Stegostoma tigrinum: one gene and its partner. The protein of the gene in region 2 interacts with the protein of the main gene of each other region in a biochemical or structural test. Links are inferred from orthologs where the notes say so. Each region holds a gene or a part of one and is shown on either strand. Other genes may lie near its edges. The genes, in order: troponin C, slow skeletal and cardiac muscles; troponin I, slow skeletal muscle.

Evidence for each region.
Region 1: the proteins of troponin I, slow skeletal muscle (region 2) and troponin C, slow skeletal and cardiac muscles are reported together in a solved structure, tested with the Homo sapiens proteins (2 studies listed by BioGRID, with this or other methods). The link is inferred for Stegostoma tigrinum from reciprocal best matches to the Homo sapiens genes TNNI1 and TNNC1.

The regions. Positions count from the first base shown.
Region 1 is NC_081364.1:20,356,783-20,360,710, forward strand, and holds the start of troponin C, slow skeletal and cardiac muscles, read left to right. Parts: upstream 1-1,087; 5' UTR 1,088-1,153; coding exon 1,154-1,177; intron 1,178-3,928. UniProt on the Homo sapiens protein: Troponin is the central regulatory protein of striated muscle contraction. Tn consists of three components: Tn-I which is the inhibitor of actomyosin ATPase, Tn-T which contains the binding site for tropomyosin and Tn-C.
Region 2 is NC_081374.1:32,238,963-32,242,890, forward strand, and holds the start of troponin I, slow skeletal muscle, read right to left. Parts: upstream 2,763-3,928; 5' UTR 2,762-2,762; coding exon 2,682-2,761; intron 1-2,681. UniProt on the Homo sapiens protein: Troponin I is the inhibitory subunit of troponin, the thin filament regulatory complex which confers calcium-sensitivity to striated muscle actomyosin ATPase activity.

The DNA of each region.
Region 1 (3,928 bases), on a different chromosome or scaffold from region 2:
ATAACTGCAACTGACAATTATATATCACCTCTAACATAGAAAAGCATGCAAAACTGTTTAAATTTATAAAGAAACTGGACAACAATCTACAAAGGTGGCTTTCATGAATTGTCTTAATGAGGCGAGGAGGGCGGACAGGCAGTGGGATTTAGGAAGGGAATTCCACAGTATGGAATCCAAACAGCTGAAATCACAGCCACCAACAGCAGGAGGAAGGAAAAGCCAGTTTTGGAGGATTGGGAATACAGGGTGGAGACCTTTTTGCTGACAATCAGCTCTCTGCCAACATTTGAAAAGATTAAAATAGGTTTAAAGTCCCAAGGTAATCCACTGCATCTGGGAACTTTCCAAATTGATGAAAAGCAAGGTCAAGCCATGAAAGGTAATATTCTTGAAGTGGCCTTGCATCACTTGTTGAAATTTGATTGGGATGGTTTTGTGACCAAATTATACAGTTGAATGGCAATGATGCAAAGCACAACAATATGCCATAGCTAGCCCATTAGATGCTAAACCAAATGTGACCATCACCAAAATAATCAATCCACATTAACGGGTAAATTCTCACATTGCAATGACAGATGAACTACAGCCAAACAAAGAACCAACCAAAAACTTAATTGTATTGTTCATAGTTCAACTTAATATTTACCTACTTTTGCATTTACTTTTAAATGTTTTGTTTTGTTATTTTGTTTGTAGAATCTGATTACCTCCAAACTAAACCATTAACAGAAAAATAATGTTAACCCTTCAGCTGTAACTGTTCTCCTTGTATACTTGAATATTTGACCAGCGGCTGTCTCTTGTATTGAGCCATCAGTAGCATTTTAACAGGACTTCCAAAGCTGCGAGACCTTGTGTTATCCCCAGCGACATATCAAAGACAAGAGGAGGTGAAAGGCCAAGATGCCAGTTTAATTATGTCTTGACGATGGTATTGCAGCCTCTCCCCGCCCCCTCCCAAAACCCCAAAGGTATTCCATTTTTTTCCCAATTCTTATCTGACAAGTTGCCAGTGATTTACGGCTGTTCGGCTTGAATAAAGAGCCCAGCATGTGTTTAATGTCCTGGTGGAACTGTGACCTCTATAAAAGATGTTGCAGGACCATTGACTCTCTGCCTGCCAACAGCGCTGCATCCATCCTCAACTATGGAAGATATTTACAAAGCAGCGGTGAGTACAGTCACTGAAGGAAGACACAAGTTTCGCAGTTTATATCTGAGTTTTTCACTTTTTCTTTGTTCTGAAACTTGCAAATTAATTGCAATGACCTTCTAGAGAAAATGTGCACGTGTAATGAATGGCTTTGGGCGAATCTTGAGCCAGAATTTAGATTTCTTTTGTTGATCTGACATAAAGTACAAAGACGTCGTATACAAATAATCATACAGCAGGATCATTGAATAAAATTTTAAGTTATAATTTTACCAAGCTATCTAAATTTGTAACAACTTTTTAAAAAAATCGGTAGTATTCCTTCGTTCAAATTAAAGCTGTTCGTGGACAGTTATTTAGAAGTAATTGTCGATCTTTGCGAACAGTTAAGCAGGTCAGCCGGCGCCTACGCAGAAAATTGATTTTCTACAAATCATGTTGAAAGAGGGTGACCGGTTAACTCGCTTGGTTTTGGTTGAATTGAATGCAAGTCCAGTCTTTCAAATTAGCATATGAAAAAATAAAGTTTGTCTTCATTAGTCGATAATTGATAAGGAGTTGAAGCGTTTCTTGTGCTTAAAGTAACATTTCCATTTTTAAGTGAGCTTTAAAGACTCTTAATGATTCCCAATTCGGACTTATTTTTGTAGCCTTTTTATTGTCTCAACTTATAGACATCTCCCAATGGACATTAAACAGCCCACATGTGATTTTACCATCGGTCCAAGAATTCCATTTCTTTTCGATTCAAACCTGTTGTCCTGACTTATTTTTAGTTCATATAGCTTATTTTATCAAAGCTGACATGCTACATTACGACTCGTGTTTTATGAACCAAAACAAATTCCAAAGTTAGTCCAACTCATAAAAGTGTATTGCGCACAAATTACTAGCTATAAATTTGAAGTATAATTAAGGGACGCCTGCATTATTTCAGGTCCTTTTAACAGAGGCTTTGCCTGTAATTTTTACATGCCGTCTTCAAAGAATGCGATCAAGTGTTGCTCCTGCTTGTTAGAGCTAATTTTGGCAGCGAGGAGCCAGCTATCTTGGCGATAAGCTTCCACCATAAGCTACCCAAATGCTCAGATAAAAATTTCAAGGATGTGTGTCTACGTCAATCAAAACGGACACAAAAGCAAACCATGCACGGTAAAATTTGTCTTAGCTCTCCTCCACAGTTGTCTTGTCGTTTATCTTGTTAAAAATAACAAGGAGTCGTGTTACCAAGGCCACAGTGAATAGCCCTATAAAAGAGTTTGCTTTTGTTCGGTACCTATTCATGTCCAAACCATCCTGGTCCAGATGAGATGCCAGAACAATGATAGCAGCTGACTGCTTTTCATGGCAGTTCTTTCAGTAAGATCCTTTAGAAAACATTTGAGCGTTAGGGAGAATTCTGAATGTAATTAGTTTGGTGGTAGGATGTACTTATTCAAGAGGTATAACCAAACTCCCACTTTGGCAATTGGATATATAGAATCATAGAATCTCTACAGTGCAGAAAGAGGCCATTTGGCTTATCAAGTCTATGCCAACCCATTGAAGTGTATCTGACCTAAACCCAACTCCCCAACCCTTCCCCATATCCATGCATGGGGATTTTTACCATGGCTAATATTCCTAGCCTGCACATCCCTGGACACTATGGGGCAATTTAGCTTGGCCAATCAACCTAACCTGCACATATTTGGACTGTGGGAGGAAACCAGAGCACATGGCGGAAACCCATGCAGACTCAGGGAGATCATGCAAACTCCACATAGACAGCCATCCAAGGCTGAAATTGATATAGTTGCTGAATGCTCACTGCATGCTTAAGATTTCACAAGTTAAAAACTGAAGGTAGAAGAAAATCTTAAGCTTCCTGAATCCTAATAGAACTCCTCTGCAATGTGCCAACTAATTTATTGCCTTATTCAAAACTAGTGCTCACTCCTACCATCTTAGAGTAAATGTTTACTATCTGTAATATTTGCATTCAAAAGTAGGATCAATAATGAACTCTTAGAATAGGTAGGCAAAGCTAAAGTAGGACTTTGACTCTTTGATGGCTCAAAGCCTGTTGTAATATTTGATATCAGAGTAAAGTTTCTGCTGACATCAATTGATTCAGGAACTTATGATAATAGCCACAGTGCATGTTTATTGCTTATTTAACACAAAGTTTATAGAGAAGATGGAAAGAAAACCAAGAAACAAGACTGGAAAATGACGAAATGTAAGTAAGGAAAAAAAATTAAGAAAAGCAATGGCATTCGATGAGAAAAACTGAAGAGGATCAAGGAGGCAGAATGTTGCATAAAGAAGCCAAAAGAAGGAACTGTAGATCCCAATCATTTGTAACAAAGTTAGAAAAACTCGACATGTTTGGCGGCATCTGTGCAGGGAAAACAGAGTTAATGTTTTAGATCCAGTGACCCTTCTTCAGAACAAATTGTAACACAGGTTAGGAAACTATTGTCAACACATGCTTGAATCTTTTGAGCAAGTGCAAGTGATTGAGTAAAACAACTGATTCTATCCAGCCCACTTTCTAATAATTTTTGGTGTTCAGTGCTGTACCCATTATTGTCACTTCTTCAAATATGTCTGAACTCAAACCGAATATGAAGTAAACTCAGTGAACTATTCTCAATGTTATTTTAACAAACCCTTCATATTTGAATGTATCTGTCCCATTAAATTAAAACATACAATGAACAAGTTAAAGATAATATTGAATTGAAAAAAGAAATCATATAATTCCACAGAATAAACGTCAGGTCA
Region 2 (3,928 bases):
CAATAGAGTTCCAAGTGAGAGTGGTGTGTGGTTTGGAGGAGACTTTGCAAGTAGTAGTAGTTCTATCATGCATCTGCTGCCCTTGTCTTTTTTAAGTGATAGAGATCACAGGTTTGAAATATGTTTTCAAAGTAACGTTGGTTAGTGGTCGTAGTGTATTTTGTAGATGGCACATATGGCTGCCACAGTGTGTTGGTAATGGAACGATTACACGTTTAAATGAATGCGTTCAACACTTTTTATTCAATCTGACAAGTCATTCCATTTCCATATTCCCAGATAGAAATGAAATTCCAAAACCAATATCAAATTACAATGGTCTAAGTCTTCCGATTACTCTTGGACAGATCTGACCAACAATGATCCTGATTGCGCACTTACTTGGTAGTGATATTTACAATCAAACGTTTGAGTGTAACCTGTCCTGGATGCCTCCATCTCAGGAGACCCTCAAGGAATTCATTCAGTATTTGGTCTCCTGTGAAAAATAGTTTAAAGATCCCAAAGGTACTTAGATAAGTTACGAAGAGAAGGTAAGTGTGTGAGGGTTTAGGGTGGCCGGATGGCAGATAGATAGGTGAGGGAGGATAGTGTGACAGGTAAGTGTGTGAGAGCCGGAGGTAGCAGGAAAGAGGATGAGGGGATAGGATGGCTGGTAGGTGAACTAGAAGGGTGATGGGTAGATGGGCAAATGTATAGGCTGCCAGGTGAGGGAGGTAGCAGAATGGCAAGTAATTGAGTGGGGTGGTAAGTTGGCAGGTGAATGGTGAGAGAATTAGAATGGCAGATAAATGGGTGACAGAGCAGGGTGGCACATGCGTACTTGAAGGGACAGGCTAACAACAGGTAAATGAGGAAGGGAAGCAAGGTAGGTAAGTGGATAGATGGCAGGTGGGTCCGTAGGTGAGGGGCTAGAGTGGCAAATAGGAGTGAAAAAGTGGTGCTCACATTATGTGCTGTAACACTCCCATGTCCCCATTCCTGACTCCGATAATTTTTGTGAGGTGGGAGAGGAGAGTATATGAAACAGAGAGAAGTAAAATCCCAATAATGACTGGGCACTTTCTGGTAACTAAGGGGTACTTAAACAGCTCCCATTCTAAGGTGGCAACATTTTTGTTGGTGCTGCTAGCTCTTAGAAACTACATAAAACAAAACCTTGTTGGGAGCAGCGTCAACAATGTGGAATTTTAGGAAAAGTGGAAACTTTAAAGGAAATCTGTTCCACAGCAATGAAATTTTACATGAAGGTTTCCTTGTGCTGTCTAAAGTTCCAGGTATCCATATGCCTTAGCCAACAGAAGGTTCAAATGGTTTCGTTTTTTTAAAAGCTTATAAAACCAGTAAGTTGGGCCAGAATGTGACCTGCTTTTCAGCCTCTACTGTTGCTCCTCACTAAAGCCACTAATTGGCCACCACTTCTAAGCTCTCATTGATTAACGCCAACCTTCATCAAAATTGGAAGCACTGTCTCTTTCCCCTCAAGGGATGGGTTCATGACCCGGAACACCCCTGTCAAATCCCACCACATCAGACAGCATCCAGCTGGCCCTTTATTATTGTATTCCAAATCCAGGAAATACAACTTTGAAGTGAGCTGGAGGTGATGTTTATAGCTGAAATTATGTCAAAAACATGAAATCCATGCAAAAAGAAAATCAATTTTTATCACTTTGTCCCAAAATGAATTCAACAGGGACTTGTTTGGTAAACAGTACCATCTATTGCATACCAAAATAAACAGAAGAATTACTTTCCTACAAACCACCTCTTTAATCAAGCTGAGGGAAGTGAAGGGAAAAACAATAGACATTACTTACTTAAAACAATATATAGTACTGCTATCCAAAATAAATTAATCATCAATTACATGTGAGTGAATGAAGAATTAAGTACAATAATTCTCGATGGTTTGATCAAATTTCTCATCATAAGAGGTGTGTAAAGTATATACAAGAAAGCATTAGGGCTATAAGGGAAAAATAACGGTAGTATTATCTTGGAAAATAAAGGAATTAACAACAATGCTGCAGCACGTTACTGTTTTTTAAAACCTAACGATCTGACCACATAAGCCTTGTAGTAGCCGGAAATAATGTGAAAGTAAGAAATCTTCTAAAATGTAGGACAAATTTAAAAGCAAGAAGTCCTGGTTATCAACTGCTCTCCACTTAATATTCATGGCAACTACAGGCAGCATATTAATGTTTCACATCATGCAACAGAAATTGGTCCCAGGTTCTGACATAAACAAGTAATGCCAGAGCAGCGATCCATTATATCGAGTGAAACTGGTGATGAGGTTCTGCATACAAGTGGCAGCTGCTATGATAGCATTGTTTGGCACCACCACTCAAGGTGAATTTTGAGCTCTAGCCTCCTCCAGAAAGAAGTGGCCTTCATTTTCAAAATCCTCCCCAATCAGAATAACGCACTAAATGCAGCTTTTTGCAGGGAGGTAGAGGCCTAGTGGCATCACTGGACTATTAATCCAGGAAACTCAGCTGATGTTCTGGGGATCTGGCTTCAAATCCTGCTGTGGCAGATGGTGGAATTTGAATTCAATGAAGAATGTGGAATAAGGATTTAATGATGACCATGAAACCATTGTCAATTGTTGGGCGGGGAATGCCATCTGGTTCACTTAAAGCCCTGTAAGGGAGGAAATCTGTCATCCTTACCTGGTCTGCTTAACATGTGACTTCAGATTCTTACTTGCGAGATGGGCAATAAATACTGGTCCAGCCAAAGATGCCCACATTCTGTGAATAAATGCAAGAAAACACAGATTTGAGTCATTTCCCCAGATTTTGTTTGTTTTGCAAATGCCATGTCAGGAAAGGAATGAAAAGGAACTTTTCAGAATGAAGAGACATCCAGTCTACATTCACTTTCATGTATGGCATATAAGTTTTACCTTCCCACTTGGCTAACATCAAATTCAAGAAATAAAACCTGAGCCGATGAAACATGTTCCCTAACAGCTCTGAAAGGAAATACTCAATTAGCTAACTTCAATTGTTCTGTTGTGTCACCACATATGTATAGAATGATGCACTATGTCCAAACATGTGCACGTTGGCTGCCCTCAACAGCCCTAGTACAATATAATTACACATATGCTGCAATTGCAAGTGATTTTAGCGTTCAGATCATCTACCTGTGTTATTTATCTTTAGTTAATCTTCTTTGATGACACGGTTTAAAATCGATAAAGCAACAAAGACAATTGACGCAATTTCTTGGGGCCACATTAAAATATATTTTGAAATCTTTTACGTGCTCTGGAGGATTTTAACTGTGTACCTCTAGTTATATGCCTTGTGCTCTGTTTCTGGCCTTGGATAGATATGCCACAGTTTCAGTACACATTTATCATTTGTAAATAGAGAATGTAAAGTAAGTAAATTGAAGACAATCAGACCTTCTAGGCTCTATTGCCGATTACTAATTGTTTAGTTTCCATGTGCAAAAATGGATAAATTATAAGGATAAATGAGCTGAGTGCTGGCAGAAATAAAAATGACACATAATTGGCTCATCATCAGATTTTCAAGGGTTATTAGCAATGAGTAGTAAATTTTGGCCTGCTCATTTATGTTCACATGCCAAGAAAGAATTTTAAAAATTAAATGCCCTTCAACAACATGGGATACTGGCTTTTAACATTCATGCCAAGCTATTTACCTTAAGTTCTCATTTTCAATCCAACTTTCATAAAAACCATTTGCACTGGAGAAATTTATAAGATGTATTTGTTGGTGGGTTCTTAGAGGGACAATGGTAGTATCTTTACATCTGAACTAGGAGGCCTGATCCTGGGATGTGTAGGTATAGGTTGATTAGAAAATATCTATAAAAATAATTTGGCATTGTGAATACAGCTATGACCCTCCAATATAATCCAGGGACACATACATTAAAATCT